Linked DNA regions of Arabidopsis thaliana. Each later gene encodes a partner of the first gene's protein in a complex. Each region holds a gene or a part of one and is shown in the gene's direction. Other genes may lie near its edges.

What was found.
Region 2: NOL (region 1) and PPH share a complex: the UniProt entries of both Arabidopsis thaliana proteins name them as parts of the SGR1-CCE-LHCII complex.

Annotation. Positions count from the first base shown.
Region 1 is NC_003076.8:1,422,705-1,438,553, forward strand, and holds NOL (NYC1-like protein), read left to right. Parts: upstream 1-12,069; 5' UTR 12,070-12,121; coding exon 12,122-12,389; intron 12,390-12,508; coding exon 12,509-12,577; intron 12,578-12,708; coding exon 12,709-12,767; intron 12,768-12,863; coding exon 12,864-12,950; intron 12,951-13,088; coding exon 13,089-13,156; intron 13,157-13,243; coding exon 13,244-13,292; intron 13,293-13,379; coding exon 13,380-13,465; intron 13,466-13,571; coding exon 13,572-13,629; intron 13,630-13,714; coding exon 13,715-13,765; intron 13,766-13,953; coding exon 13,954-14,004; intron 14,005-14,079; coding exon 14,080-14,121; intron 14,122-14,218; coding exon 14,219-14,329; intron 14,330-14,442; coding exon 14,443-14,490; 3' UTR 14,491-14,791; downstream 14,792-15,849. Other genes in the region: AT5G04885 (Glycosyl hydrolase family protein), read left to right, coding at 362-393, 646-890, 1,194-1,398, 1,501-1,591, 1,695-1,840, 1,921-2,164, 2,358-2,462, 2,550-2,732 and 4 more; RTM2 (HSP20-like chaperones superfamily protein), read left to right, coding at 4,513-4,630, 4,704-5,686; ABO6 (DEA(D/H)-box RNA helicase family protein), read left to right, coding at 6,092-6,349, 6,576-6,730, 6,821-6,908, 7,000-7,233, 7,321-7,416, 7,497-7,685, 7,818-7,977, 8,061-8,191 and 11 more; AT5G04910 (DNA repair REX1-B protein), read left to right, coding at 14,991-15,190, 15,428-15,521, 15,609-15,713, 15,797-15,849. UniProt on the Arabidopsis thaliana protein: Required for chlorophyll b degradation. Chlorophyll b, chlorophyllide b, pheophorbide b and pheophytin b can be used as substrates. Belongs to the chlorophyll catabolic enzymes (CCEs).
Region 2 is NC_003076.8:4,447,287-4,463,254, reverse strand, and holds PPH (pheophytinase), read left to right. Parts: upstream 1-8,546; 5' UTR 8,547-8,743; intron 8,744-8,894; 5' UTR 8,895-8,947; coding exon 8,948-9,007; intron 9,008-9,104; coding exon 9,105-9,740; intron 9,741-10,083; coding exon 10,084-10,310; intron 10,311-10,410; coding exon 10,411-10,602; intron 10,603-10,701; coding exon 10,702-10,858; coding exon of another isoform or gene 10,859-10,864; exon of another isoform or gene 10,865-10,940; coding exon 10,941-11,192; 3' UTR 11,193-11,520; downstream 11,521-15,968. Other genes in the region: TBP1 (telomeric DNA binding protein 1), read right to left, coding at 1-16, 117-196, 272-325, 414-587, 675-1,389, 1,478-1,561; AT5G13810 (Glutaredoxin family protein), read right to left, coding at 6,662-7,486; AGL15 (AGAMOUS-like 15), read left to right, coding at 12,453-12,634, 12,807-12,867, 12,936-13,006, 13,111-13,210, 13,282-13,323, 13,536-13,577, 13,652-13,803, 13,962-14,127; AT5G13780 (Acyl-CoA N-acyltransferases (NAT) superfamily protein), read left to right, coding at 14,652-14,951, 15,367-15,645; AT5G13770 (Pentatricopeptide repeat (PPR-like) superfamily protein), read right to left, coding at 15,965-15,968. UniProt on the Arabidopsis thaliana protein: Alpha/beta hydrolase dephytylating specifically the Mg-free chlorophyll pigment (pheophytin), yielding pheophorbide. No activity on chlorophyll. Belongs to the chlorophyll catabolic enzymes (CCEs).

The DNA of each region.
Region 1 (15,849 bases):
TTATGCAGTGTAGACTGGTACAGATGTTTTGTGGAAAAACGTGAGCCAACCCCACGTCCCAATAAAAACAACACAAAACCGCATCAACGTCTTTTAACACTCTCTCTCTCTTTCTCAAATCTGCTTAAAAGCGTTTATTAACTACTCTTTATTTTCTCATATAAAAATTCTCAGCGAAGAAGAATCAGATATTTTCTGGTCTTGCTCTGCCTAACTCTCACATGTAAGTTCTTCTTTCTTCCTCCATTCTCTACTGTTGAATCTTGCCTTTTTCCTTACCCCCAATGTATGCTTCTTCTTATTTCTTGTTTTCTTGGCTAGCTTGGTTCTTGGTTTCTTGTATGAGGCTAGTAGCTTTATAATGATTCGTTTGGAAAATAAGAAAATGAGAAAGTACTTCTTACGGATTCGTGTGCTTATTCAATCTTTTGTTGAAATTCGAACAGTAAATCTTAAAAAGCTTGCTTTTATTTTTGCTTTTTTTCTTCTTTCTTGTCACTGATGAATAACGAAGTTGCTTTTTTGTTTTCTTGGTTGGCTGCTGATAAGCACCAAGGTTTCACAATTTTGGGGGTTTCTTTTTTAAGCTGACAAGTGACAAGTCTTTCTTATCTTGAGTTTCTTCCGTCTTTGTTGTTTTGCCAGAGTTTCCCCTGTTACGAAGATGAGCAGAGATTCAGTAAGAATCGTTGGGGTTCTTCTATGGATGTGTATGTGGGTTTGTTGTTATGGGGATGGAGAGTATCTGTTGTACAAGGACCCGAAACAGACGGTGTCAGATCGAGTTGCGGATTTGTTTGGTAGAATGACTTTGGAAGAGAAGATTGGCCAGATGGTGCAGATTGATAGAAGTGTTGCCACTGTCAACATTATGAGAGATTACTTCATCGGTATGTAAAAGAACAATCTTTCTTGGAGATTTCCAGAAATCTGATTACTTACTTGCTTGGCTAGTTTAATTGGTTCATTTAAACCTTATTTTGGGCATCTTGTATGGTTTCCTTAGAAAACTGGTCGGTGCTACTGGTGTTGTTAGGTGAAATGAGGATATCATTCAGTTTTTGCTTTCATTGAACTTCAGTTTCTCATCATCTTGTTAATAAAGAACTAGATAAGCTGCGTAACTTGACTTGGTATTGAGTATCTGTATTTGTGAAACTTGAAAATTGAAGTTGTCTGTTTGTTCTGTACAGGCAGTGTATTGAGTGGTGGTGGGAGCGCTCCACTTCCTGAGGCAAGTGCTCAGAATTGGGTTGATATGATAAATGAGTACCAAAAGGGGGCTCTAGTTAGTCGTTTGGGAATTCCTATGATATATGGCATTGATGCCGTTCACGGGCATAACAATGTCTATAACGCTACTATTTTCCCTCACAATGTTGGTCTTGGAGCCACTAGGCAAGTATTAGCTAAAACGTTTATTCGATCTTGCATGTTTCCCATCTCTGTTTCTGTGAATGCTGTCTATATTTCTTCTGATGATAGATTTGAGTTTCACAGGGATCCTGATCTTGTTAAGAGGATTGGAGCAGCAACTGCAGTCGAAGTCAGAGCCACTGGAATCCCATACACATTTGCTCCTTGCATTGCAGTAAATTTTCTCACCGTCTGCCTAACTTTTATATACCTGGCACTCTTCATATCATTGGTACTTTGGACATTTGTTAAAGTTGTTACCCACTCGCTTTTTGTAGGTTTGTAGAGATCCCAGATGGGGTAGATGTTATGAGAGCTACAGCGAGGATCACAAAGTCGTGGAAGACATGACGGATGTCATACTTGGTTTACAAGGAGAGCCTCCTTCCAACTATAAGCACGGAGTTCCATTCGTTGGTGGCAGGTAAGGCTTTTGTTAATTTGGTTCGGTTATGATAGCCTTACAAAAGTATGTTCGGTCTTTCATGCGTGTTATTTTGATAGGGATAAAGTTGCAGCCTGTGCCAAGCATTACGTGGGAGATGGTGGGACAACCCGCGGAGTAAACGAGAACAACACTGTGACTGATTTACACGGTCTTCTTAGCGTTCACATGCCCGCTTATGCTGATGCAGTTTACAAAGGTGTTTCCACAGTGATGGTTTCATATTCGAGCTGGAATGGTGAGAAGATGCATGCAAATACTGAGCTGATCACAGGGTATCTTAAGGGTACCCTTAAGTTTAAGGTCTGCTTACTTATCACAACTTCAACGCACATTCTCTGTGTTCTGGCAGTAGTCTTTCTGAATGAATATTTCTCTTTCTCCATGTATTTTGTAGATTCTTGAATAGAACATATATATAGCATGTGTGAGTTCTTAGATGAAGGAGTTGATTTTGAATGTTAATTCCAACTTATCATCTCTATGATGTGTGCAGGGTTTTGTTATCTCGGATTGGCAAGGTGTCGATAAGATTTCCACACCACCGCATACGCACTACACAGCTTCCGTCCGAGCTGCAATTCAAGCTGGAATTGATATGGTTAGTGTTTCATACTTCACAGACATTCCTGGACTGAAATAGGAAATTGTTACTCATGTTTGTGTTAGCTAATGAAATAATATGCAGGTCATGGTCCCCTTCAACTTTACCGAGTTTGTCAATGATCTTACAACCTTGGTGAAGAATAATTCAATTCCTGTCACTCGGATTGATGATGCTGTCAGAAGAATCCTGCTTGTCAAGTTCACCATGGGTCTTTTTGAGAACCCTTTGGCTGATTACAGCTTTTCCAGTGAACTAGGAAGCCAGGTCAGTTGCCTAATAACCCTGAGCTAGAATCTGTTGCAAGTACTACAAAGTCTTGATGGAATGTTCTCAATTTATATTAGGCACATAGAGACTTGGCAAGGGAGGCTGTTAGAAAATCCCTTGTGCTACTGAAGAACGGGAACAAAACCAATCCTATGCTCCCACTTCCCAGGAAGACTTCAAAGATCCTAGTCGCTGGCACTCACGCTGATAATTTAGGTTATCAGTGTGGTGGTTGGACCATAACTTGGCAAGGATTTAGCGGTAATAAGAACACGAGAGGTACGTTCTGCAACTCTTATTGCAGATTATACAAGTTCTATCATCTTGTCTGTGACTGTTTATGCTTTGTAAGTTGTAACAAATATCTTGTGACTGTTAATAGACTGTACCCTTTCTTCTGATTCAGGGACTACACTTCTTAGCGCTGTAAAATCAGCTGTTGATCAAAGCACTGAAGTTGTCTTCCGCGAGAACCCGGATGCTGAATTCATCAAATCGAACAACTTTGCTTATGCAATCATTGCTGTTGGTGAACCTCCATATGCAGAAACAGCTGGAGACAGCGACAAGCTAACTATGCTTGACCCCGGTCCAGCGATTATTAGCTCCACTTGTCAGGCTGTCAAGTGTGTGGTTGTGGTCATTTCAGGTAGACCACTTGTGATGGAACCTTACGTTGCCTCGATCGATGCATTGGTTGCAGCATGGCTACCAGGAACAGAAGGCCAAGGTATCACTGATGCTCTCTTTGGGGACCATGGCTTCAGTGGAAAACTTCCTGTTACATGGTTCAGAAACACAGAGCAGTTGCCTATGAGCTATGGAGATACACATTATGACCCGCTATTTGCTTACGGGTCTGGTCTTGAAACTGAGTCTGTTGCGAGCATTGTTGCTAGGTAAAATACTTCACACAGCTTCCTGTTTCATCTGTTGCAGTATTCTCTGACACAAGATTAAGATTCTTAACCCCTAAGTTTTGGTTGCTAACAGGTCAACCTCAGCTTCTGCTACTAACACAAAGCCCTGCTTATACACAGTCCTTGTTTCTGCTACATTGTGTCTGTTTATCTTCCCAAGGTATCATCACCAGTTTCAACTTCCGTTTTGATTTCTTTACAGAAATTGGTGAGAATCTGACATTTCTTCTGGTAACTTTTTTTGTGTGTGTAGCTTAAGCCGACTTTGAGAAGATGAAAAGTTACAAAAGCTTGGAGTAGATAGATTCTTTCGATTATCTGATCTGATCAAGTGAGTTCTTGTTAGCCTAGCAAAAGAGACCCTGAATCTGTGTCGTGTTATGTTCAGAGTTATTGCAACCTGAAACATTATTGGATATTCACACCAGAACGTTCTTCTATTTAGGTTCTTGAAAATTCTAATAGACAAATTCTCTTCTTGAAATCACCATTCTTGAAATTAAGTCACATAACTTCTCAGAAAAAATGATACATCTTCTCAACTGATTAAAACTGACGTCATTTGGGGAACATAACTTACAAGACATAATAAACTTGTGAAGAAAGCAAGAGAACATTATGCTTTCTTTGTAAGAGAAGTAACATATGAATGATGACCTGAGACAAAAGAAGAGATTTTGATGATCACAAGACATAGCCGCAAAACTAGGAATATCCATTGCATAACAGTAGAGAAAATGGCTAAGTATTGCAGAAATTCAAATCTTATTTATATGCAGAGCAATAAACACCTAATAGTATCATCAAAGCTCAAATTTAACCAGTTCATAAGAAAGAGGAAAGATAAGTAATTAATAATGGCAGCGAGACAGCAACAAAAAGGAACAGGCTTCGGGGTTCAATACGAGGACTTTGTCCCCAAATCCGAATGGAAAGATCAACCTGAAGCCACCATTCTCAACATTGACCTAACAGGTTGGTATACAAAATAGTAACTTTGGACTACTTATGGTGGTTTAATTATAATGTTATGATTTGGTTTTTAAAGGTTTTGCAAAGGAGCAAATGAAAGTGACGTATGTGCACAGCTCGAAGATGATAAGAGTCACTGGAGAACGTCCCTTGGCTAATCGGAAATGGAGCCGTTTCAACGAGGTGTTCACTGTTCCACAGAATTGTTTAGTGGATAAGATCCATGGGAGCTTTAAGAACAATGTCCTCACCATCACCATGCCTAAGGAGACGATCACGAAGGTGGCTTATCTTCCAGAAACTTCTAGAACTGAAGCTGCTGCTCTGGAGAAGGCGGCGAAGCTAGAGGAGAAGAGATTGTTAGAAGAATCTAGAAGGAAAGAGAAGGAAGAAGAAGAAGCTAAGCAGATGAAGAAGCAGCTTCTGGAAGAGAAAGAGGCGCTAATTAGGAAGCTGCAAGAAGAAGCTAAAGCAAAGGAAGAGGCTGAAATGAGGAAGCTTCAAGAAGAAGCTAAAGCAAAGGAGGAGGCCGCGGCAAAGAAGCTTCAAGAAGAAATTGAAGCAAAAGAGAAACTTGAGGAGAGAAAGCTCGAGGAAAGGAGACTTGAGGAGAGGAAGCTCGAGGATATGAAGCTTGCGGAAGAAGCTAAACTAAAGAAGATCCAGGAGAGAAAGTCTGTTGATGAATCTGGAGAAAAAGAGAAGATACTAAAGCCAGAAGTGGTCTATACAAAATCCGGGCACGTGGCTACTCCCAAACCTGAGTCGGGGTCTGGTCTCAAGTCCGGGTTTGGAGGAGTAGGCGAGGTGGTGAAGTCAGCGGAAGAAAAACTAGGAAACTTGGTGGAAAAGGAAAAGAAAATGGGGAAAGGGATAATGGAGAAAATAAGAAGGAAAGAGATAACAAGTGAAGAGAAGAAGTTGATGATGAATGTAGGAGTGGCTGCTCTTGTTATCTTTGCTCTCGGAGCTTATGTTTCTTATACCTTCTGCTCTTCTTCTTCTTCTTCTTCCTCTTCGTCTCCTTCTTCATCATCATCTTCTACCAAACCAGAATGATATATCTCTAAGAAAGAAAAATGTTGTGCAAATTGAAGAATGTGTATATTATATACTTTGTGATATATTTCTACAGTCTAATAAAGTTTGATGATGTCATATTTAAGACCTATATATCATAGTTTTATTGAGACAGGATTTAAAAAAAAAAAACTCAATAAACATATGAAACAAATGAAAAAATATCCATAAACCCTAAACCCTTTTAGATTTGAAGACAGAGAGACCTGAAAGCTTTTAGTTCAATCGATCTTGTCTGACCAAAAATCTGTGTATAGGAGAGAACCCAGTTGAATTGGGAACTGAGAGAAGCAGAAAGTAACTTCCTTTACCGGAGAACGAGAAGTGAACGGTGAAGGCGGCGAGGTTGAGAACCATGCCTCTTCGCTCATTTCGTTTTCTAGAATGCGTTTCACAAAAAGAATAAGCCTCTTCTTGGGGCAGACGACCAGGATTCATAGTCGCTCTCTATTGGGAAATCCGACTTTATGCAGGTCTTATATCGTTGGTCCGGTCTCTACTAGTTCTCCGGCGTTTCTGATTTCGAGTCGTAATGGTGATGGTGTTACGGGATTGTACTACCCGATACGTCGTCGTTTCATCGGGCACACTGCGGAACAGTTCTCGGATGATGAGTACGAGTGTGAATTCGAGGAACATAAGGTTCGTGTTTTGTTCATGATGCTAAATTGTTTAGATAAATGGAATCAATCAATCAACATTTGTGTTGATCTCCAGAGTAAAAAGTTTCTCAAAATGGAATTTTTAGGTGTTTGTCGATTAGATTGTTTGGTGGAATGACTATGTAAATGAGAGTCTTTGAACATTTTCTGTTTGATCCTTTATACTTGGGAAATGATTTGATCCTAGGCGTGAATTGGTTTTATAGGCTTCATCTTCTGTGGCCAATGTTGATGAGTGGAAGTGGAAGTTAGGAATTTTGTTGGCCAATGATAGTGAACAAGAAATTGTTTCCAGAGACAAAAGGGATCGAAGAGATTATGAGCAGATCTCAAATCTTGCTAAGAGAATGGGACTTTACAGGTATAGAAAACTGACTTTTATTGGAATCAAATAACCCTATGTGTTTGTGTGCGCTATGTGCTAACCCAATTCTTGGTTCCAATTTAACAGTGAAATTTATGGAAAAGTGGTTGTTGCAAGCAAGGTTCCTCTTCCTAACTACCGACCAGATTTGGATGATAAGCGACCACAACGGGAGGTAACAGTGTCTCCCTTGGTTTACCAAAATCATAATGCACAGTTTTTATTTGTAGTTTTATGCTGAAATTGTAATGCATCTCATCGTGCAGGTGGTGCTTCCGTTGAGTTTGCAAAGAAGGGTAGAGGGACTCCTCCAGGAACATCTTGATAGTCAGCAGCTAAGCTCAGGAAAGGCTAATGAATGCGTAGCTGATTCTCAACCTCCTAAACAGACTGAAGAACTTCCCGATGAAAATTCTGATTCGTTTCTCGATGGTTCTGTTATGGAGAAGGTACTTCAGAGGAGGAGTATGCGGATGCGCAATATGCAGAGAACCTGGCAGGTATTACTCAATCATCTTTACCCCACGCCTCTTGTCTTTTTATCAAAAACTTTCTGCTATAGCAGTAGTTATTTGGTTGAATAATAGGAATCCCCTGAGGGACGGACGATGCTGGAATTCAGGAAAACTTTGCCTTCATTCAAGGACAAAGAAAGACTTCTTCAAGCTATTGCTCGGAACCAGGTGAATTTTAGAGCGGGATATCTTCGCAATGCAGCAATGCATGGAAATTAATTTTTTGATCTCAACTCTCAAATTCTCAGGTGATAGTTGTATCTGGGGAGACTGGATGTGGTAAGACAACTCAGCTTCCACAATACATTTTGGAATCAGAGATAGAGTCTGGTCGGGGAGCATTCTGCAACATCATTTGTACTCAACCTAGGAGAATATCTGCCATGGCAGTTTCAGAAAGAGTGTCAGCTGAAAGAGGAGAACCTCTTGGTGAAACGGTTAGCCAAAATCCTTGTCCTTCAATTGAGCATCGATTCAAAAGCTGTCTGATTACTCCAATTAACACTAATACTTTGTTAAAAGATGCTTGTTTATTCATGACTTCATACCTAACAGAGAATTTCCGATAGGTTGGGTTTAAAGTTCGTCTAGAAGGAATGAGAGGAAAGAATACCCACCTTCTATTTTGTACAAGTGGTATCCTTCTCAGACGGCTGCTTAGTGATCGCAATTTGAATGGAGTTACACATGTTTTTGTTGATGAGATTCATGAAAGGGGCATGAATGAAGGTACATATCTATATATCTAATGTATGTTTAGGTTTCTGCAAATAGAGTCTCATAATAATATGCCCCTCACTTCTTGGTTGCAGATTTCTTAATTATAGTGTTAAAGGAGCTTCTTCCACGGCGTCCAGATCTGAGATTGGTTCTCATGAGTGCCACTTTGAATGCTGAACTCTTTTCTAATTACTATGGAGGGGCACCTACCATTCACATTCCTGTAAGACAATGTTCTTCCTCAATAGTCTTGACACTCTAGATATTCAGCATGATTTCCGTGTTTCGAGTTGTTTCTATGGGAAGCCTTGAATGTATATATATTTTCAGGGCTTCACACATCCAGTGAAAGCACATTTTTTGGAGGATGTACTGGAAATAACGGGATATAAGCTGACCTCTTTTAATCAAGTTGATGATTATGGCCAAGAAAAGACGTGGAAAACGCAAAAACAGTTAATGCCTCGCAAAAGAAAAAACCAGATCACTACTCTTGTTGAGGTACTTGGCTAATTTTTTACATCAACTGGAAATTCCTTAGAATTAACTCTAATTTGCAAGTTTAACTAACTGTGTTTCTGTTGGTCAACTAGGTTTGCTGAGCAGACCAAATATTCCAATAACATTGTTCACCATTGTTTCTTTAAAATTGCAGGAAGCTCTCAGCAAGTCAAATTTTGAAAGCTATAACTCTAGGACACGTGATTCTCTTTCGTCTTGGATGCCTGACTGCATAGGATTTAATCTCATTGAGGCTGTTCTCTGTCACATATGCCGAAAAGAACGTCCAGGTGCTGTATTAGTATTTTTGACAGGATGGGATGATATCAGATCCCTGAGCGACCAAATTAAAGCCCATCCTCTCTTGGGAGATCCGAACAGGGTTTTGCTATTAATGTGCCACGGTTCAATGGCAACTGCTGAGCAGGTTGATTTATATCCTCACGTGTTACTTTGTTTCCTTTCAATTTGAGTCACGACTCTGGAGAAGTACTAATTGTAACTTATTTAACATATTTCGTTGATGTTTACGCAGAGACTCATTTTTGAGAGAGCACCTCCTAATATTCGCAAAATTGTTCTTGCTACAAACATGGCAGAAGCTAGTATTACAATAAACGATGTAGTGTTTGTGGTTGACTGTGGAAAAGCAAAAGAGACCACCTATGATGCTTTGAACAATACACCTTGTCTGCTACCTTCTTGGATATCTCAAGCTTCTGCGAGACAGGTGAATACATTATACTAAAACCTATTGTTGTAAATAGATCTTTCTTGTGTTTTGCATCGTTCTTATTTTTGATTTCAGAACATTGACTCCTCTATATGATTTGATTGCATGATTATCATTGTTGCAATTTCAGAACATCCATTTTGCTATCTGGTACATCTTTTGATAGCTATAAAGCTTTCTCATTTGGTATGTCCAACATTTCCCCTCTATTTGGCCTTCAGAGAAGGGGAAGAGCTGGGCGTCTGTTTCCGGGAGAATGCTATCACCTGTACCCCAAATGCGTCTATGATGCTTTTGCAGAGTATCAACTTCCTGAACTTCTGAGAACTCCTTTAAACTCTCTCTGCCTGCAAATTAAAAGTCTTCAGGTTGAAAGCATTGCAGAATTCTTGTCAGCTGCACTTCAGGCTCCAGAGTCTTTGGCTGTAAGTGACAGATAAATGTGTTCATAGAGATTTCGCCAATTTCCATGTTACTAGTAACATCTTTGATTGATTATCAGATTTTTTTGTATGTGGAAGATATGATTCTTATTGTCTCAAAATTAGTCAACATAACTGTAAATATCATGACAGGTTCAAAATGCTATTGGATTCCTGAAAATGATCGGAGCACTGGATGAGAAGGAAAATCTAACGGATCTTGGTTTGTGTTCTAAGTCCTGTACAAAAAATGGTCCAACTCTTTCTTATACTACATGTATCATGACTGACTTTCCTGCTTGTTGTATTTTTGGCCTGTTCCAACTAGGAAAACTCTTATCGATTCTTCCTGTTGATCCCAAGTTGGGGAAAATGCTGATAATGGGTGCCATCTTCCGCTGCTTTGATCCGATCCTGACAATTGTATCAGGGCTAAGTGTCAGAGATCCTTTCCTTCTACCTCAAGACAAAAAAGACGTAAGTATAAGGACTCATGGACGAACATTTATTTTTATCATGATGTACGGTGATTGGTTGATTAATTGGCAAATAAATGTTTTTAAAACTTACTTTTTGGTCTTTTGAATTTTATTGAAGAGTGGGTTTTTATAGGCGGTTTTAAGCCAATAGATAGATGGATATATAACTTTTTATGAAGTATGTTGTGGTTTAATCTCTCAAACTGAGAGATGATTTCCTTGTTTTATTTTAGTTAGCTTTATCAGCCAAGTTGAGATTCTCAGCCAAAGACTACAGTGACCATATGGCACTCGTTCGTGCCTTTGAAGGGTGGAAAGATGCTGAAAGAGAAGGATCGGCTTATGAGTTTTGTTGGAGGAATTTCCTGTCAGCTCAGACGCTTCAGGCGATACATTCTCTGAGGAAGCAGTTCAACTATATTTTGAAAGAAGCTGGCTTAGTTCATGATGATTTAGCTCTCAACAACAAGCTAAGTCACAACCAGTCTCTGGTTCGTGCTGTCATTTGCTCTGGCCTATTCCCTGGAATAGCATCTGTTGTGGTAAGTCTAAGACCCATGTCTCTGGCTAAGTCTCCTTTCTCGTGTCAGAGATTTCGGTGAAATAACCTTGTTGTCCTTTTTCTTTGCACAGCACAGAGAGACTTCCATGTCATTCAAGACAATGGATGATGGCCAAGTATCACTATACGCGGTGAGCCTCTTCATTCGTATTTCCCAACATCATTACTTGAGTCTCTCGATATGGCCATCTTTTTTATTTAAATGGTTTTTACGGTTTCTATGTTTCAGAATTCTGTTAATTCGCGGTTCCCAACAATTCCATACCCTTGGCTAGTCTTTGGAGAGAAAGTAAAGGTCAATGCGGTACTCATACGGGACTCCACTGGTGTCCCTGATTCCAGTTTGATCCTTTTTGGTGGTTCATTGAGCACGGGAGTACAGGTGATTTCTCTCATTTTCCTCTTTTTAACCCTTACACTAGTCAGATTATGGAATACTCCGGAATCGAATGGATTGAATGTTGTGTTGTTTCCAGGTGGGACATCTAAAAATGCTTGACGGGTACATTGATTTCTTCATGGATCCAAATTTGGCTGAGTCCTATGTAAAGCTGAAGGAAGAACTCGATAAGCTTCTTCAAAAAAAGGCGAGTTTTTTTCAATTTTAAAAGGAAAAAGTGTTCGTAGTGCAGCACTTTAACACCTTTAGTATCTTTACGATTTGCAGCTTGAAGATCCAAGCATGGACATCCACAAAGAAGGCAAGTACCTCATGCTTGCAGTTCAAGAACTTGTGGCTGGAGACCAATGCGAAGGCAGATTTGTCTTTGGCCGTGACACAAAGAGGCCAAGCCAACCGCAAATAGGAGAGAACAAACACTCCAAAGACGGGACAAACCCGAAGAGTCTCCTTCAGACACTTTTGATGAGAGCTGGACACTCACCTCCAAAGTACAAGACAAAACATCTCAAGACAAACGAATTCAGAGCACTTGTGGAGTTTAAAGGAATGCAGTTCGTTGGGAAGCCTCAGAGGAATAAAACGCTCGCTGAGAAAGATGCTGCTGTTGAGGCCTTAGCTTGGTTGACTCATACCTCTGATAATAGTACTGGCCAACACAATGAGGATGCAGATTCTCCACCTGATGTTACTGATAACATGCTTAAACTCCTTGGAGGACGGCGCAGGCGATCCAAGGGCAAGTAATTGAATCTCTGTAGGTTTTTTCGCAGACAGATTTGGTTTGTGTAACTGTGCTTTGGACGATCTCAAATACCAACCAAAGCAGATAGAGAAATTATACTTCAGTAGTCACTATGTAACTATAGTGTCGTTTTTGGGGCAGAACAATAGTGTAGGGTTATAAACATAAAATCTAGAAACTTTAGGGGCTATGATGTATTTTGAACAATAATTGGGGTTATTATCATCTTATATGCCGCCACGTGGCATTTAACTCTCTCTGAGCTTGCTCGCTTACGCAACTCTCTCTCTCTCTCTCTTTGAGCTTCTGTAATGGCTACTTGGAGTGGTTTCAACGTCTCTTCTTCTCCGTTGCTTAGGCTTCGGTCTTCCTCCGTCTCAAATGTCACTAAGCTTCCGTTTCTCTCTCCTATTTGCCGGCGTCGGTTACTGGCAGAACGCTTTGGTCTCGCAACTGTCGTTGTTACGCGCCAAAACCTCACGGTTACTCCGTCGTCTGCGGCGGTGGAAGCTCGTATCTCAGGGAAAAGAGAACCTATGACGCCTCCGTATAACATATTGATCACTGGCTCAACCAAAGGTTTCATTCACTCTGTCTTTGTCAATTGACTCGAGTTTTTAATCTTCAGAAGGGAAAAAACATATTTTTTTATCTCATTGTGTCTCTAAAGAGTGGTTTTTGATTTATTGATTGTTCAGGTATAGGATATGCATTAGCTAGAGAGTTTCTGAAAGCAGGCGACAATGTTGTGATTTGCTCTAGATCAGGTTAGAACCTGTCCCCATTGTTGTCTTGAACTCCTTTTCTAGAGTTTGTGTGTCTGTAAGGAAACATGCAAGCAAGTAATAGAACCAATCTTCAGTAGAATTTTGCTGTTATGGCTGTTCCTGTCTTGCAGCTGAACGAGTTGAGACTGCTGTTCAGAGTCTTAAGGAAGAATTTGGGGAGCATGTGTGGGTACCGCCTTCTTTTACTGTTCTTTTCCATTCGTGTGGTCTTCCAAGGTTTTTGCTTTATGTGCATTGATATCATGAAACCATTTTCTCTTAGTAGGGAACTAAGTGTGATGTTACGGAAGGGAAGGATGTGAGGGAACTTGTAGCTTATAGTCAGAAGAATCTTAAATACATTGACATTTGGGTACACTCTCAAAACTATGAAGAACGTTCATTTGTTGGTGACATCTGTGTTAATGTTGTTCAGAGTATTTTACTATGTTTTCTTTTCAATTTTGTAACCATAGAAATAGTCTTATAATACCATCTTGAGATGATACAGATAAATAATGCGGGATCTAATGCATATAGCTTTAAACCTTTGGCAGAGGCCTCAGATGAGGATCTTATGTAAGTCTTGTGTTAAGCTTGATCCTTCTCTTCGTTAGTTTCTATGTGATTGGTTTCAGTCATTTACTTTTTGAAATCTTTATGCAGTGAAGTTGTGAAAACCAACACTCTAGGTCTCATGTTATGTTGCCGAGAGGTAGTCAAAGATGTTATAAGGAGATGAATTCAGCGTGTCTTTTGTTATTATCAGTTGGATTTACTGACATGTGTTCATGATTATTAGGCAATGAATATGATGTTGACCCAATCTCGAGGTGGTCATATCTTCAATATTGATGGAGCTGGTTCAGATGGGAGACCAACACCCAGGTTTGCTAGATTCATTAAAGTTTCTTGGGAACATGCTTTAGTAAATCTCCTTTAGGCTCTCTTCTCTGTACTGTCTAATAGCATTTTTTTGATTAACGTTTGACAGATTTGCTGCATATGGTGCAACTAAACGGAGTGTCGTTCACCTGACAAAGTCATTACAGGTAATGCCAGAGTTATATCTGTTGAACTCTTCTTCGTTTTCCCTTCTCCTTATATGACTTCTCTAGTAATTCCTGTCTTTCATAGGCAGAGTTGCAGATGCAAGATGTCAAAAATGTCGTGGTGCATAATCTATCGGTATGAATACAATATATTGCTTCATTTCATTTTTGGTTGTTTTTAGTGTCTTCCTAAATACACTGATACAGACATGCGCATAGAGATGAATAGAATGGATGGATTATAGTTATTTGAACAATTTGAATGAATTCAGGATCTAAACATGATCATAATTCTAATGTGTTTTCTCTGGATTATTGTTGCAGCCTGGAATGGTCACAACTGATCTGCTCATGTCCGGAGCAACTACAAAACAAGTTCGATGACTTAACACTGAGGAAATATTTAGATTCCATTTCAAGAGATTCTCTCTAATACGTTCTCTATTGCAGGCCAAGTTCTTCATTAATGTTTTGGCAGAGCCAGCCGAAGTGGTAAGAACCCATTAACTCTTAATTCTTTTTAGCACAACAATTTGACACGATCTCTAATCTCTAGCCCCATGATTCATGATCACACATTCGTTTGCAGGTGGCTGAGTACCTTGTCCCAAACATAAGGGCAATACCGGCTAGCGGATCTATGAAGCCGACTTACATCCGTTTCCTAACTGGAATCAAAGCCTACACCAAAATATTCTCAGTTAAGACGATTAATAGCTCTGCGTAGAAGTAAATCAAAGCATGTAAACTATTTCTGCAAATTACTTAACCAATTTGTTTTTTTCTTTGTCAAATTTTGGGAATTTGTTTCAGAGAGTTGCGTTGGGAGCAAGGAAGAACAGGTATGTTACTGAAGAGTAGGTGTCAAACTAAGTATTAGAATTGTATTGCTTTCTCAGTTTGTTCAATGGTAAATAAAAACCTCTACATTTTGTTCATGACAACTCCAAAACATGCAATCTATTGTACAATTTGGATTTAAGCTCATTTGCAAAAATGTGAGATTTCTCAGTTAATGATTGAAGTGATGATTTAAAAGTCAGTTTTTTTTTTCCAACCATAATAATTTATAGGCACTATTTTGAGAATCAGACCAGATTTGTCGAGACTGGGATCCAAATGCCTGTGGTCTAGTTTACAATTTAACAAGCAGCAAAAATGTCATTCCAAACCAATCAAACCGGGTAAAACCGAAGAACCGCCTCAACCGGACTTGATATCAAAGCGATTAAAATCAAATTACGGTTCAATTTAGTAAAATCGACTAAACCGGTTAGTTCGCAACTTTCTCTTTGCTTCTTCGTCTCTCTCTCTCTGTCGTGTTTGAGAAGACGAAAAGAGTCGGAGAGAAAGATCGGACGATGAGTGCCGAAGATTTCCAGAAGAAGGTTTCCCTCAGAGATTCCCTCTCCGGCGATATTGAGAACGAATGCGGCGGTTCCGGTGTCGGGTCTACTAGTTCGACGGTGGGCTCCGGCGTCGCCTCTCAAACCCTGGTCCTGCTTCGGAGTCTGTTGGAGATTCAGCAGCGCCGAGCTCAGGCTTACGCCAATCTCAAAAGGTTCGATTGATTCATTGGAAATCTCTCAAAGAGTTAGTTTATTTGTTGCGGTTTTGTTAAGTTCCAATTGATCCATTGCCTGAGAGTTAGACTTTGTTGGTGAATGTTGAAATTGAGGCAAATAGTGTGAAGGATAGAGAGGGAGATGTTTTTTATATTCGTAGATTTCCATGTTTTTGTTACTGAGATCTTCCTCTATTAATCTGAGCTGACTATGTTTTCGAATTCAATTATCAGTGGATTCTCAGAGTATGTGGAGTCTGGTGCTGAAGCACTTTATCAGAAGCTGTGCAGCGAGATTACAACGGAGTTCAGTGAATGTTCGAAACAAGTATGGATCTTATCTGAGAGTATTTGATTACACCTTCACAGTGTTGTTCAACCTTGTGTTGTTAAAGATTGAGCCCTTTGATGACAGGTGCGCGAAATGGAATCTCTGTTTCTAAATCCAGAAGTTGGAAGAGCTGATCTTGCTAAACTTCTCAGCGACATTCAAACTCAAGAGAAGCAGAAATTGCATCTGGTTTCATACCCATTTACTCTAATCTAGATATCTCAACGGTTGAACAAAAGTAAGAATCTTACTTTAGTTCACTTTTTTCGCAGACTGTTACAATACAGGTACTGAAGAAGGCAGGAAGACCGTCAGAACGAATGCT
Region 2 (15,968 bases), 3.0 Mb from region 1:
CCTCCTTCACCGTCCTCTGCAACCAAAAAGGTTTATGTAAATAACACTTCATCATTGTACACAGCAGAACCAAAACATCTACAGAGACCGGTAGGAAAAGACATTTAATCACGCACCTTCAGTAAGCCTACTGTTGCTGTTTCTGGAACTTCAATTACAAGCTCCGGAATCCTAAGGGACTTGATGCTGAACTTTACTGCAAACAATGAAATAACATGAGACCCACATATCATGTCTCCATAAGTCAGTAAATTATCAACTGATCATATACCACGGGAGTCTTTCGAAAGAAGACCTATTTTTGCAGCAGAGAAATCACCATTTTCTGCATTCAACAAAGAAGCAAAAAAATCATGAAATCAAAACCATATCAGCCAAGGTAATAAACCATCTAGATATAGACTAATATGTACCTGATTCTCCCTTTTCAGGTGAATTGGAAACACTTTCACTACTGAGCCCACCATCATAATTTACGACCAAACCTTTGTCAGACAATCTTCTCTTCCTATGAATGGTCTCACGCTTCCATGGGTTGTAACCATAACATAATTTTCTCTTGCGGTAGAGAGCCTTCAAACGACCATCTAGAAATATATCCGCAAGCAAAGTAAGGGCAGAGCGGCAGCTAAAAAGAAATGCACCAAGGAGAAACACAGTAATATGATACTAACCTGTTCTAGTGTCTTCAAAACACTTCAACTTGGAGATTGCTCTCACCGACTGCATTATTCTTCTATTGCCAACCCGGGAGAGAGGCCTATATGACTTACATTTGTCACTAAATTTATAATACTTACAATAGTTTTCGTCATCATCTCTGCAAACTAACTTAGAATGATTCCTATATCCTTTAAAAGAATCATTAGGGACTTGATCCGTGCATGGTGCTAATTTCACATCGCCATCCAGAAGGACCGATTCTGGAGACTGCGAATGTAATTGACTTGGATCCTTTAAGCTGAAAGTATTAGCACCTTGTTCAGATCCGGCATCCTCATTAACAACACATGTCTCCTCAGTGATGCTCCCTACCAGGGACTTCAAACCAGATGCCCTCTTACAATCAGAAACCGGTGTTTGCTCCAAAATGCAATCATTTTCGAAAGACGAAAATGGCAAACAAGTCACGCTAGTATTTTCACTAGTAGACTTTGAAGCAGGGTTTCCTGGATCGAAAAACTCGGATTTACAAGGCTTAGTAGTATAGCCATCTTCAAGTTCTTGCTTAATCAGTCCACCCAAATGATCAAGATTATCAGCTTCAGATGCATAGGTAGACGTTGAGGAACTTTCACTTTCTTCCAACAACTTTCCAGCAAGAGAAGCTAGCAAATCAATTGCACAGATCTCACTTTCATCATCAGATCTCTTACCTGAGACCTTCCTCTACAAAAGGGAAACAAAAGTCATCAGAGACGTATTACAAAAGCATACAAAAAAAAAAACAAAAAAAATGAAGACCATGATCTCTTACCCTGCTTGAACGAGGAGCCTTGGGAATATTGGGGAAATCAAAACCATTAGAGCCACCACAATTTAACTTCCTTTTGACCACCATCTCTCAATTATGCATAACAAAACAACAACCTGCAAAAAAATCAAAGACTTTTAATGTCATGATCATCTCCAACAAAATTAAGCTAATCAGTATAATTTGAACACATTCTTAAACTAATGATCAACAGATCCGAGGTCAAATGCAAAAAAAAAAAAAAAATCAGGAAGATAAAACTAAGCCCTATACAGATTCAGATCAACAATGAACACCAAACCCTTGATCACTTTGTTTGTTTTTTAAAAAACATGCAAAAATGCAGCGAAACAAGCAACGTATAGATGAAACGCAAAAACTTAGATCAATGAAACAAATGTAACTTAAATGCTCACAATTTACGTAGAAACAAACAATAAAACATAATCAGATCTCGATTGCCAACTTCTGACAAACCGCCAAATAATTTATTCGACTTCAGATTCAATACTTTTTTGTCACCAAAAACAGAACATGAATTGAGTTTGTGGATCAGAAAAACAGAATTGAGAACATGAATTGTGATGAACAAAAAAACTCACCTAACAAGCCAACGATTCCTGGATCACAATCTGGCGCCAGTTAAATTATAGATCACGCAAACTGAATAATTACGCTACCTTTACCTCTCACGAATCTCTGATTAAGAACAATTGTGCTATACAAATGAAAAGAGAAAAAAATTACAGAGACTTTGAAATTCTAAGATTTAAGAGAAAAAGATTTAACGATCGTCCTTGTCTTTCTCTCTCTCTCTCTTCTAGAATAGAAATAACGAAGAAGAAGAAGAAGAAGACATTAAACCCTTTGAAAAAGAAAAAACCAAACAACTGAAAAAAAGCTTAAACCCCCATTTGAAGAAAATAAATACACCATTTTTTTTTTGTAAGTAGAGGAAATAAAATAAATAATAACCACGCGACCGGATGTGGCAGTTCAAGGATAGTGGATTTACCGGGTAGAGCCAGTCACTCTTCGAACCATTTTTTTTGTTTTTAATGACACGTGGAGGATACTCTTACTACACGAAACCTATTTTGTTTGTCATTGTCAGAACCAAAAAAAAGAGAGTTAATTTCGGGATTGGATAATAATTATAATATTCCCATTTTGAAGGGAATATTATGAGGCTGTGATACCGCGTGGTATCCCTTCTTTTACTGTTCCGTGCACGTTTTTACATCATTGGTCCACGTGTTTTCTCTTGCTGACGTGCTTTTACACCTGGAATTTGTTTTTGCCTATTAGCAGAAGAGTGGGGTGGTTCGTTTAATTCGATTCTTTGCTTTTAAGTCTAGTTATTAGGTAGAGTAAGGTTTAAGATGTTTCGAAAACTATTGAATTCTTCCCCATTAATATTTTCAAAGCTTTATTTATGACTTTTTATTGGTCAAATATTAATGTTGGGTAAGTTTATTTACTGTTATTAAAAAGTTTGCGTTGAATTTGTTTAATATTGACTGGGGAAGCCAAAGACACTTTAGGATTATCATCCATGAAATAGTTTACAATGGAATCCTTCAATAGTATATTAACATGATAACATGAATGAAGATTAAGTAGTAAATTTATTGTACATTTAGGATAATCATCCATGATAGTGTTGTTAAGCATATTCCCAATTGGACGGAAAAGAGCATATTCTTAGTTGTAAAAAATGTTAAATTACTCGGTAAGACGGATATAGGAAAATTTAAATAAAACGAGATCCAACCACCTAACAAAACGAGAATATTCCATTTTAATTTGAAAGTCAGTTGGCATAAGCTTATCTTAAGATATAGTAAAATAACAAATAAATAAAATAAAACAAAAAGTTCTAAACTAGTATATTTATAGAAAGACAAGATTTCACATGGTTGATTGTCACACTCATACATTGTCTTATTTTTTTAATACGCCGATAACACTGGATTTATATCCATGTCGTTGTGTTTAGAAGAAATCCATGTGTTTGTGTTTGTGTTTCATGTAGATGTGATATAGTCTATGTGCACACATGATTTTCATACTTTTATAATATGAGATCTCTGTTATATATATAACATACCAAGTTGTTCTTCCTACCATTCAACGTTTAATAATGTTATGGGAATCATTTATACACTGTTGACGAAAACAGTTAATTAATATTGCGGTGACGATAACATATGTATTGTCATAGTATGTCAAAATAACATCAAATTATGTATAACAATTAACAAATATATTTTTATTCATATAAGATGTCTTTTGATCCCAATGTTTTTCAAATATCGACAACGAATGTGTAGCAGGCAGAAATATCCTAAATAATAGCACAAAAACCGAAGAGAGTTGGATTCTAGCATTTCATGCATTATGCTTCAGCGGATGAGGCATAGATCTGCTCTTTACTCGTTTGCAAGCTAATTCGGTTGGGTTGAACAGCTTTTGTTCTTTTATTTCTCCTTTAAACTTTTTTTTTTCTCTGTCACCAAGTTGAAGAAAAGCAATCACGTATATATCATCATCACATGGTTCTCATATCCTGGCAACATTTCGATATTGATATAATATTCCGTTAGCCAACAAGAATCTCAATATCTTACATTATACCCTAACATCTACGTTTGATTTGAAACTGCCTTTGAGATGGTTACGTATGCTTCAAGGCCGTATATATTCCTTGAGGTGGTTGAAATAAAACTTACTCAACTTGGACTTCATTTCCAATCAAATTTCCTGTAATATTTTATACGTTAATATATGTGTTTATATATATGTAAATGTATATATCATTCAAACCAAAAAAAAAAACACTATTGTATATATCTGGTATAACAATTGTTTTTCGTGTTCAGATCTTGTGTGTTATGGAAAATAGATCTATAGGTGTGTTTTGATTTCATCTTTCCTACACATTAAAAGAGAAGTCCTTATTAAAAAAATGTATAGCAAATTTGTATGAAAGATGATTACTTTTTAGCCAGTTAATCTCATCGTGATTCTATATACTTTCGTTTTGTTTTCATTACATAAGATTTCTAGAGTTAATTTCAAAGTTTGAAATATTCTTACAAGAAAAATCAATCATTTAAATTAGTGCACACTAACACTTGAAATACTATTACGAAATATACATATTTTAAAAAAAAAAAAAAAAAAAAAAAGAAAAAAAAAAAAAAAGAAATATACATATTTTAATTAATGTTTTTAGTCAAATCATAACTCTAAATATTTATATTAACGGTTGGAATAATATTTAGCATACCAATTAAGACAAGACATGAATGCCGCGTCAAACATATCCGTATTGGGCGAGGTCGTCGAATTAACGAGTTTCCAAAACACTAGAAAACGATGTTTTTTTGGGGCCAAAACCAGCATAAGTAGTTGTTGAGTACATTGTCACCATCCTAAATGTATGAAATCATGAAATCATAATGTTTTATGCAGAATTGACTAAGAATTGATAGCACCCACATAGTCGTTCGATCATGCTCATGCACGAGCACGAGCACGACATAGGCAAAATGTGTCACATTGCAAAAACAACATGGTTATCCAAAGCTATCAATAATTCAATACTATACCCTTTCGACTAAAAACACGGTAGAGTCGATCGAGCCGTCCCGTTCTCAGATTCACGATCATACAAAATAAACTTTGGTTTTTGCTTGAAGCACGGTCGATAGAAACATAAATTTTCCATATAGGACAAATTTTTTGATTATGAATTTATGATTGAAAATGGGTCGGAAACCGGAATAATAAAGTAAGGTATGTATTAAGTGGGTCCAAGTGGGGGGTGGATGCGTGAGTGAAGAAGATACCACTAGTAAGAAGTAGTTCAACTGTTCAAGTAACCTTTTAATTAAAGAAAAAACGTTGCGTGAAAAACAATCTATAACCGTCAATTCTGACTAAAACTATAAAAGAAGGAAAGTTGCAAACTCAAACGTAAAAAGGATTTCCTCGTGCCAAAAGATAAGAAAACAAGTAGCTAAAGAAACCATATACTTCTCTGTATAATGATGACAATAAGGCAAAAACAATATTGGGCTTTTTAAACGTTGAGTTTTCAGATAGGTTGCCTCATCGTTTTATACACTTGGGCTTTTCAAGATTGAAATTTGCTTCTGATTGCAAATATTTATTCTTGGACCTAATAACGTAGGTAGGATAGATGCATTTTCTTAAGAAAGCCTCAGAACTCTCTTTGACATTTTAGAAAGAGTTGGATAGTTTCCTTATAGGTCACACCTCTCTTCAAACAAATCAAGTAACTAGTGATGCAAGTGTTCACTTTTACCACGTCTGATTTTGTCATTTCTCCAAACTTATCGGATTGGCTCCAACCTAAGCCAAAAGGACTAGTTGGTCCGTTGGAATGAGTAATGAATTAGTTTCTTTTAAGGTAATGATTTTGCCGGAAATAGAGGTTAAATGTTGAGTTCACCTAATAAGTAATTTTGCCGGAAACAAAAGTTTATCAAATGCGAAAATGAAGTATGACCCTTTTCTTATGGACTTGTCACCGATATAATCATGAATGTTTGCGGAATCAAGATTAGAATATTGTCAATGATACATGATTGTCTTATATGTTATGTTTTAACCACCAACATTCAATTACGCTCAACCAATAAATTGGTTCTGAGAGCCCTTGATCATACTTGAGAGTTAGCGAACAAGAACGATGGAGGATTATGTCGGTAGAAAACTTCTAACCAAGTTGTCATAAAAAGACGATCAAGCGAGTAGAACCACCCAATTACTGTCGTAATCAACAAGATGCCCATAAACACACGAAATATTTACAATCAAATATATAGCATAAGAACACAGTTGTCTTTCACAACATTGACACACAAGAGTCAAAATGCTTACTACCCGTTTCAGACATTTTGATTACACAATTACATTTAGCCCTTAGTAGCAAACACATACATAAACTAAATCCACGATCACCGGCATTCCCATTACCGTTGATCGCAAACCTTAAAAAACCCAAAGTGAAATGCTGCTGATCCAAAAGAGATTTTCGGATACTTGTGGCAGCATCATTCACTGTTCTACACAACAATGGAAACATCAAAAGAGAAATAAATACCTCTTTTTTCTTCTTTTTTTTAATGGTTTTTTCAGGTTCATTGATGATATATCTCAAGAAGAGCAATCAGGACAACGTATCAATCCATTCTCATTGCATTCAGGACATCTCTTGACCCTATCTTCATCCTCATCAAACAGTTTCTTGCTGCCACTACAATTGGAACACGGAACAAATCGAATGTCCCCACAGCAATGGCAAACAAACCCTGGTTGTCTCATTGGAAACTCTTTAAGAATCTTAGCAAGCTCACCAATCTCAAACAAACTCTTGATCACATCAGCACCACCAACATACTTGCCCATAATGAAAACTTGAGGCAAAGACACAGACTTCTCTCCCATTGCAATCTGCAACTCTTTCCTATAAGCGATATCCATGGAGACGTCGCGCTCATCGATCCAAACCCGAAACCCTCTAAATATCATTCTGACAGCATAGCAATCCTCATACGTCCGTCTAATCCCTCTCAAGCTAGTAAAATACACCACAATCCTGTCCTCTGTCCCGGGAAGACGGATGACCGAGTTGTTTAAGCTCGAAAAAGGCGATATCCGCGATTCGGGTAAAAGGGATTTACCGGATTTCTGCTTCTGAGGAATCTCAGCTAAGGCAGGTTTAACGGGTTTGGAAGTCTCGAATAATCTACAAAGGTTTTTGACTTTGCCTTTAAGAGAAGTTCCCATCGATTCTACGGGGGTGTAGAATTTGGTAATGGAGGTGGTACGATTGAGAGAAGGATTGAGATTGTGGGATTTGGGGCCCGAATCCACCACTGTTCTTCCGTGAATTGTAAGCGACCTGTTGAAGAACGACGTCGTTGTAGCCGATTTCGTCGTCTTCCCTGAGAAATCAGCGTTTTTCTCTAATCCCGCCATCGAAATTAGATCAAAGAAGCACCCCTTTCGACGGCTAATTTGGTGTAAAACCTAAAATAGTCAACAAAATCAAAACCCTAGGATCAAATTCAAGCAAATTGACGAATACAGAAAGAGAAATTGAAAAACATAAATTGAATAATCGTCGATCACCTCCCAAGGAAGAAATGGAAATTGGAATGATTGGAAAAGAATCAGCTTCTCTGATTTGAGTCGTAAAACGATCGGGTGCTGCGTTTTTGAGCTGATGAATTCTCACCTAAGATTAAAGAAGACGAGATTGATGAAAGAATGATCTGATTTTTCTGGAAATTTGGGGGTTTGTTTGTGTTTTGGAAGAAGATGTGGAGGAGAGCTCCGAATTAGCCTTTTGTCTGTCTGCCTTTGTTGCAAAGCAAAGAATTTTTCTGTTTTTTTTTTAAAGATATAATTATTATGTCTAAGTTATTAAAGGCTCTTTAATGATATATTTACTCGATGCTCCTTCGAGGAAAAACGAATTTGAAAAAATAACAAAAGTGGGATTAAATTGCGAGGAAAAGTCGTTTACTGGTAAAACGCGGTTGTCTTATTAAGAAAGGTTATGGTTACAGCGAAACCAGTTTCTACGGTCGGTTTATTGCTATTGATTCTACGCTCGGTTTAGAGATAGTTGTCTGTATTCTAATTGAAGAGTAGTGTATTTCGCTTTCTAGTCTTCGACCATTAGGATTTTTAGTTCACACAAGATCAATTCTCTAACATTTAAAATCAACTAGAAAACTCAAATAACACCGTTAAAATAGTGATTAAACCATTCAAAAATTAAACGGGTTTTATATTGTTTGATATGAAAACTGCAGGTTTTTCGATTGTTTTTTTTGTTTTCCGATTGTTACACAATGGAAAAGAAGATCAAAAATCAATTGTTTTTAAAAAAAATATTATTCTGTCATATTTTTGCAACAAACATGTGTTTTTGCAATGTTACATCGGTGTCAAATTAGCAATGTCAGATCCAAAACAAAATGTCATATTGTGAAAAAAATAACCCTACACTTAATAATACAGTATGAATTTTGGATCCTTTAAGAAAAAATAAAAACTCGATAAAAACGTTGCTGTCGGTTTGCACCGAACGATTGAAGTTAACCAAGCCAGCAAGCAACCCAATTCTTCTATTTCTTCTTCACCTTTAGATTTTTCCTCGCTTAATTTCTCAATAACGCTCTCAGAGAGACCATTTGATGAAGCTTCTCGCTTCTGGAATTTGAAAAGGTACAAGTTGCAACTCTCTCTTTTCTTTCTTTTCTTCCTGGGTTTATTATATAGCTGGAGTTCTTTGTCGATGAATCGGGTGGTGTTGTTGTTGTTTGGTTTCAATTTGATAGAAGATTGGCTTGACCTTGATTTGCTTTGTTTTGATTAGGATTTGATAAGACGAGTTCATAGAAGATTACCGCAAGTTCATCAACTTTTTGTATGTGGTTTCAGCTTTTGAAGCAAAATTCTGATAACTATACAAAGATTCCAGCTTCATATGTGATTTTCCTTGTTATTCTTAGCTTTGCTATGAAGTTGAGATATATGAGTGGAAAATTCGTATTAAAGGATATGCCTTTTGGTTGTTCATTTGCAGGAACTTGTTATGGAGATAATCTCACTGAACGTTGTGCCCCAGTGCTCTGTGGTTACTTGGAGTAGTAAATTAGCAACGAAAAGATTGGTCCCAAATCGGTCAAGTTTGTTATTCTCAGGGGTCAAAAAATCCAGACTTGTGATTCGAAGTGGAAATTCCGATGGTTATGTTGTTGGTGAGAATGATGACTTGGGTCGTATAGCCAGAAGAGGAGAATCAACGTCAAAGGTTTTGATTCCTGGTTTGCCTGATGAATCAAATGGTGAAATTGCTGCTCGAATCAGTCATTCTCACTGCGAGTGGAAGCCCAAGCTTAGAGTACATTATGAGAAAGCCGGTTGTGACAATCTCGATGCTCCTGCGGTGTTGTTTCTTCCTGGCTTTGGCGTTGGTTCATTTCACTATGAGAAGCAGCTTACCGATTTGGGAAGGGATTATCGAGTATGGGCTATTGATTTTCTTGGACAGGGTTTATCTCTCCCTACTGAAGATCCTACTACCATGACTGAAGAAACCAGTTCCTCGGAAGATAAGGAACCATTTTGGGGATTTGGTGACAAAACTGAACCGTGGGCTGATCAACTTGTATTCTCTCTGGATCTCTGGAGGGATCAAGTTCAGTATTTTGTAGAAGAGGTTAGCAATATCTGAGTTCAGTTGTTCTATTACTCTTTAAGCTGTTGATTTTGTTCTTTTAGTCGTAATTTCAAAAGCAGTGTGTTAGCTTTTTTTTTTTAGTGTAGATTGTTGCTATGTGTCGTATACTCATGGATTTCAATAGTTTTCAGCTCAGAACCTGAAAGTGTGGGTATGGAGTCTTCTGGTGTTGCTTTGGGAATGGGAAAGTTTAGGATGCACTAGATATTAGAATTCATCTCTGTTCTTTGATTCCGTTTGTGTTCTAGTTTGAGATCACGATCTTTTTCATCTGAAATAAGCTGCTGAGTCGGTAAGAGTATGTGGTATTTGTGTTGTACAGGTTATCGGTGAGCCTGTGTACATTGCAGGGAACTCACTTGGAGGGTATGTAGCTCTCTACTTTGCAGCAACCCATCCTCACCTGGTTAAGGGTGTTACCTTGCTTAATGCAACACCTTTCTGGGGTTTCTTCCCTAATCCAGTAAGATCCCCAAAGCTAGCACGTCTCTTTCCATGGCCCGGAGCATTCCCTCTGCCGGAAAGAGTGAAAAAAATCACAGAATTGGTGTAAGGGAGACTTTATTAACACATCTCCTCACCTGAAAAGTATCATTTTCTATTTCTATCTCTATCAGTCTAATATCTTTACTTCCCAATGAAACTGCAGGTGGCAAAAGATAAGTGATCCTGAAAGCATAGCTGAGATACTTAAACAGGTCTACACAGACCATTCTATCAATGTGGATAAAGTATTCTCACGTATTGTGGAGGTCACACAGCATCCGGCTGCTGCAGCATCGTTTGCTTCAATCATGCTTGCTCCTGGTGGAGAGCTATCTTTCTCCGAAGCTTTATCTAGGTATAAGACAGTGTGGTTTCTTGTTTTTATATGTTTTTTACTCTGCGTGATTGGTGTTATTGCTTATGAGGAATGCTGCTATTTGATGGTTTATGCTAGGTGTAAGGAAAACAATGTTCAGATATGTCTCATGTATGGAAGAGAAGATCCATGGGTGAGACCGTTATGGGGAAAGAAGATAAAGAAGGAAATCCCCAACGCTCCATACTACGAGATCAGCCCAGCGGGTCACTGCCCACACGATGAAGTCCCTGAGGTATAATGAACTAGTCAATAAATTCTTCAAACTCTGCAATTAGGTATAATGAACCCACCATTTGGGATATGAAAACGAGCAGGTGGTGAACTATCTGATGCGCGGGTGGATCAAGCACCTGGAGTCTGGTGGTTTTGAAGCGCTCCCGCTTTTGGAGGACACTGAAGAAGATTGGGAGGAGTCCAGGATTGGTAGAGAAATTGAGTTCCCGAGAGATGGTTGGAAAAAAGCAGTGAATCTGTGGTTATATGGGTCAAACTATACGTACTGGAGAGGAGTTAGAGAATCTTTCAGATCCAGTTTTATAAGGGTGTTTGGAGGGAAGTCTGCATAGAAGAAGCATGGAACAGTCGTCTAGTGTAAATTAATTGTAATCTATGTTGCATCCGATGCTAGCTATATAATGTTGTCTGTAGAATCAAGTTTCTAAAATGTTCAAAAGGAAAAGTTAGAAAAATATCTACTTGATAGTTAGTCACCTAAATCGAAGGAACTCCTTTCTTGCATTGTTGTATATAATCCACAGGTTCAGATTAATATAGGAAGGCGACATTGCAGGCCATATGAGTTGTCTTAAAAATTGGAAGAGAGCTTGAAATTACTCTGATTCCAAAAGAAGAAAGTGAGTGTATTTGAATTGTTAATAATTTCCAAAGGTGAACAGTTTTATTGAACATGTATGGTGTTTGAAAAGACGTATCATTGGTTACTTTTCTCGAGGCAAAGTCGTATCCTTGACCATATTCTTCCCTTAGCTTGAATCTCATTTTTGTCAGTTCCACGGTCAACAAATAAGGGACTGAATTAGAAGGCTATCCAAACCACTTTTGAGAAACTTACTTACACAGGCTATATATCCAACATGAGATTTGGTCTGCTTCTTTTCTTAATTTGTTTCTTAGTCTCTGATAAAATCTCGTTATCTATTTATTGATTTGAGTGTCAAAAAAAAAAAACCGGTGTTACAAAGCTGCTACTAAAGTGTCGTTCTACACTAGTTGTAAGAAATTACTTCTCAGTATGTTTTTTTATCTCTCACTAGTTGATAACATAATGGTAACCATCAAACAATGCTAGTTGTTGCAATTTTATTCTTGGGGGTACTTTGAAATTGTTTCTAATTGTTGCTCTGAACTTTTTTTTATTTTTATGTCGGTCAACATTGTTGGTCTGATTTATGTCTTACAACAACATTAAAGAGAAAATACACTAGTACTAATAAATCTAATTTTAAAGGGAAGGAAAAAAGAGGAAAGAAAAAAACAACTTTAGGAAGAAAAGGGAAAGTAGGACCCAGAAGAACTGACAAAATCCTCCAAATGTGGCAAAAAGGTATCATGCAAAAAACCCTAAAATTGAAAAAAGAGAGCACGCAAAACAGTGGCCATGCAACACACAACATTCATTACCGAGTTTTTACCTTTCTTTCTTTTTTCTATAAAAACAAAAATATTCCATCCAAATTTAGCAATCTTTTGTGTTCCCATTAATAGATTCCCAAAAAGCACTTCTAAACCCATTTTGGAATACATTGAACCTTTCCTCTTCTTCTTCTTCCTTCTACCTTCTTCTCTCTGTTCAATTTTGGGGGAAAATGGGTCGTGGAAAAATCGAGATAAAGAGGATCGAGAATGCGAATAGCAGACAAGTCACTTTTTCCAAGAGGCGTTCTGGGTTACTTAAGAAAGCTCGTGAGCTCTCTGTTCTTTGTGATGCTGAAGTTGCTGTCATCGTCTTCTCTAAGTCTGGCAAGCTCTTCGAGTACTCCAGTACTGGGTAACACTTATTTCTTTTTGATTCAATTTTGTTTTTGCATGTCTTGTCTTGTTGTGATTAGAATCGATTTCGGGAACTGTAATTGATTTTTGTTTTTGCATGTTTGTTAAGATTAAAAGTTTTCTGATTGAGCTGAAGAGAGTCCTAATTTTGAATTCTCATTTGATTTTAGAATGAAGCAAACACTTTCCAGATACGGTAATCACCAGAGTTCTTCAGCTTCTAAAGCAGAGGTGAGAATCATTCATTCTTGTCTCATATATCTTGAAATTGTTTTTTTGAAAATCTGATTGCTGTTTAGAACCTCCAGGAGGATTGTGCAGAGGTGGATATTTTAAAGGATCAACTTTCAAAGCTTCAAGAGAAACATTTGTATGGAAACTAAATAAATCTCACTATGCTTGTTCATTACTTTATTCTTCTCTACTTTGTGTTTGTTTTTAGTGTTTGGCTTTGTGTGTTCTGTTCTGTTGTAGACAACTGCAGGGCAAGGGCTTGAATCCTCTGACCTTTAAAGAGCTGCAAAGCCTTGAGCAGCAACTATATCATGCATTGATTACTGTCAGAGAGCGAAAGGTAACTAGTAATATCACTCTTCCATCATCATTTCTCTTTGCATTGTCCTGATTATGGTTATCTGATTTCAGGAACGATTGCTGACTAACCAACTTGAAGAATCACGCCTCAAGGTAAACACTAGCTTTTCCTCTCTAGCTTCCAAATGTAAGCTTATGTGTAATCACATGATTCTGAACCTTGTTAAAACCAGTGGCTATCCTTTGACAAGCTCATGCTCTAACTAGCTAGTGTGCAGTTTATTTGTCTTAAGACTCCTATATAACTAGGTACAGAGTGCAAAAGTATAATTCGTTTCTTGATTAGCCATATATATACTTTGCAGGAACAACGAGCAGAGTTGGAAAACGAGACCTTGCGTAGACAGGTTCTTATTATTTTTGTTGAATCATCTCCTAATGAACGCTTCTTCCTCTGACTTGTAATTACTTGTTGAAACAGGTTCAAGAACTGAGGAGCTTTCTCCCGTCGTTCACCCACTATGTTCCATCCTACATCAAATGCTTTGCTATAGATCCAAAGAACGCTCTCATAAACCACGACAGTAAATGCAGCCTCCAGAACACCGATTCAGACACAACTTTGCAATTAGGGTATTGCTCTTTTAAGTCTATTTGCTGTCATTGGTTGCATTATTGGAAAGCTGATTTAAGATAAATATAAGTCTTTTTCCTCCTCTGTTAGTTATGCATATGCCTTAACACTCACTAACTGGAGTTATAAAATTCTTACTACTTGTGTTTTCTCCAAGGTTGCCGGGAGAGGCACATGATAGAAGGACGAATGAAGGAGAAAGAGAGAGCCCGTCAAGCGATTCAGTGACAACAAACACGAGCAGCGAAACTGCAGAAAGAGGGGATCAGTCTAGTTTAGCAAATTCTCCACCTGAAGCCAAAAGACAAAGGTTCTCTGTTTAGTCCTAGAAAAGTATGGGAGAAGGCTACTAATGTTTCCTCTTTAGCAAGTATCCGATTGTTTTAAAAGTAATTTTAGAGGGATACTTGCAAAAAGAAGAGAAGATTCAGTTATCTAATCTCTGCACCAACTCTCTTTGTCCTTCTTCTTTTGATTATTTCTCGACTGTCTCTCCTATAAAAAAGATATGCCTAGCTGAGAGTTTGAAATCCATAATCTTTACAAGGCACAGAGTTATTTGACATCTCGTATAGTAAGAAAATTTGCGGAGAAATAAGCTTATAGAAAGTGAAGGTTATCGGAATCTTCCTACTCCATTACAATCAAGGCCCAATTGGACCTCAAATCCTAAACTGAAAAAGTTTATAATGAATTTCATTAAATGCCCCTAAAATATAAGCAAAAGTTTCAATAAAGACCTCATATTTCTCTATAATTACAATTCGTCCCCAGATTAATAAAGCCCAAAGGCATTAGACCGAAAACCCTAACCCCTCTTTATCCGCGCGAGAGCAATTGAGCAGCCATGGTTTGCATCAGGCGAGCGACGGTGGATGATCTGCTGGCGATGCAAGCCTGCAATCTCATGTGTCTTCCTGAGAACTACCAGATGAAGTACTACCTCTACCATATCCTCTCATGGCCTCAGCTTCTCTACGTCGCCGAGGACTACAATGGTCGCATCGTTGGCTATGTCTTGGCTAAGATGGAGGAAGAGAGCAACGAGTGCCACGGCCACATCACTTCTCTCGCCGTTCTTCGTACCCATCGCAAGCTCGGTCTCGCCACTAAGCTCATGACCGCCGCTCAAGCTGCCATGGAACAGGTTACTCCTCTAATCTTCAAATTTCGTATATCTTTGCATTCAATTAAGCAGATTCATTGAATTGATATAGAGTTTCGTGTTGAATAATTGGATGATATAGAAGAATTTGTGTGGTTTGAGTTTATGTTGAAGATTGATATAATGGTGTAAGTTAAAGGATTTTATTGAAAGTTAGAAACTTTGTGTGTCAAAGTGATTGTTGCAATTGTCATTGGAATTTGAAGTAACTTAAGCTCTGTAGATTGTATAAAGAGATTAAGTTTTGTCTCCGGTCGTGTTATGCTTTTGACTGACGGAGACGAGTAGTTTCTGATTGCCTGTGAAACTAATAATAGCAGACCTCAAAGGTTGATAGTTGTTTTCACTCTCGAACTTGGACTTTTTAAATTCATTCTCGGTCGGGGTTTTGTGGCAGGTTTACGAGGCTGAGTATGTTTCGTTGCATGTGAGGAGAAGTAACCGAGCAGCATTCAATCTATACACTGAGACATTAGGCTACAAGATTAATGATGTAGAAGCAAAGTACTACGCCGATGGGGAGGATGCTTATGACATGCGGAAGAATCTCAAGGGGAAGCAGAACCATCACCACGCCCACGGTCATCATCATCACCATGGAGGAGGATGTTGTTCTGGTGATGCAAAAGTTGTAGAAACAGCTCAAGCCGTAGATGGTAAAGCAGTTTCCAAATGAGATTCGAAAGCAGATAATTATGAGTATATTGAGGTGGGTTCACTGGCTCGCTCTAGTACTTCTCACTATTTCCATTCATATGATTCCGAGTGACAAATACATTTGGTGACCACTCTGTGTTACTCCTTTGTCTTTCTTTGGTTGTATTGAAAATTTAGCCGTTCCTTTTTTTGATGTATCATTTTGGAAATTCCAAGCTTTCATTAAGGCTTTACAACTTAAGCTGGAAATCTTCTATTTGCAAGATAGCAGATCTCTATTGGCAATATAGTACATTTAATTACAAGAAAAATAATCTTGGCTTGTACAGTTTTCCCTTTCAA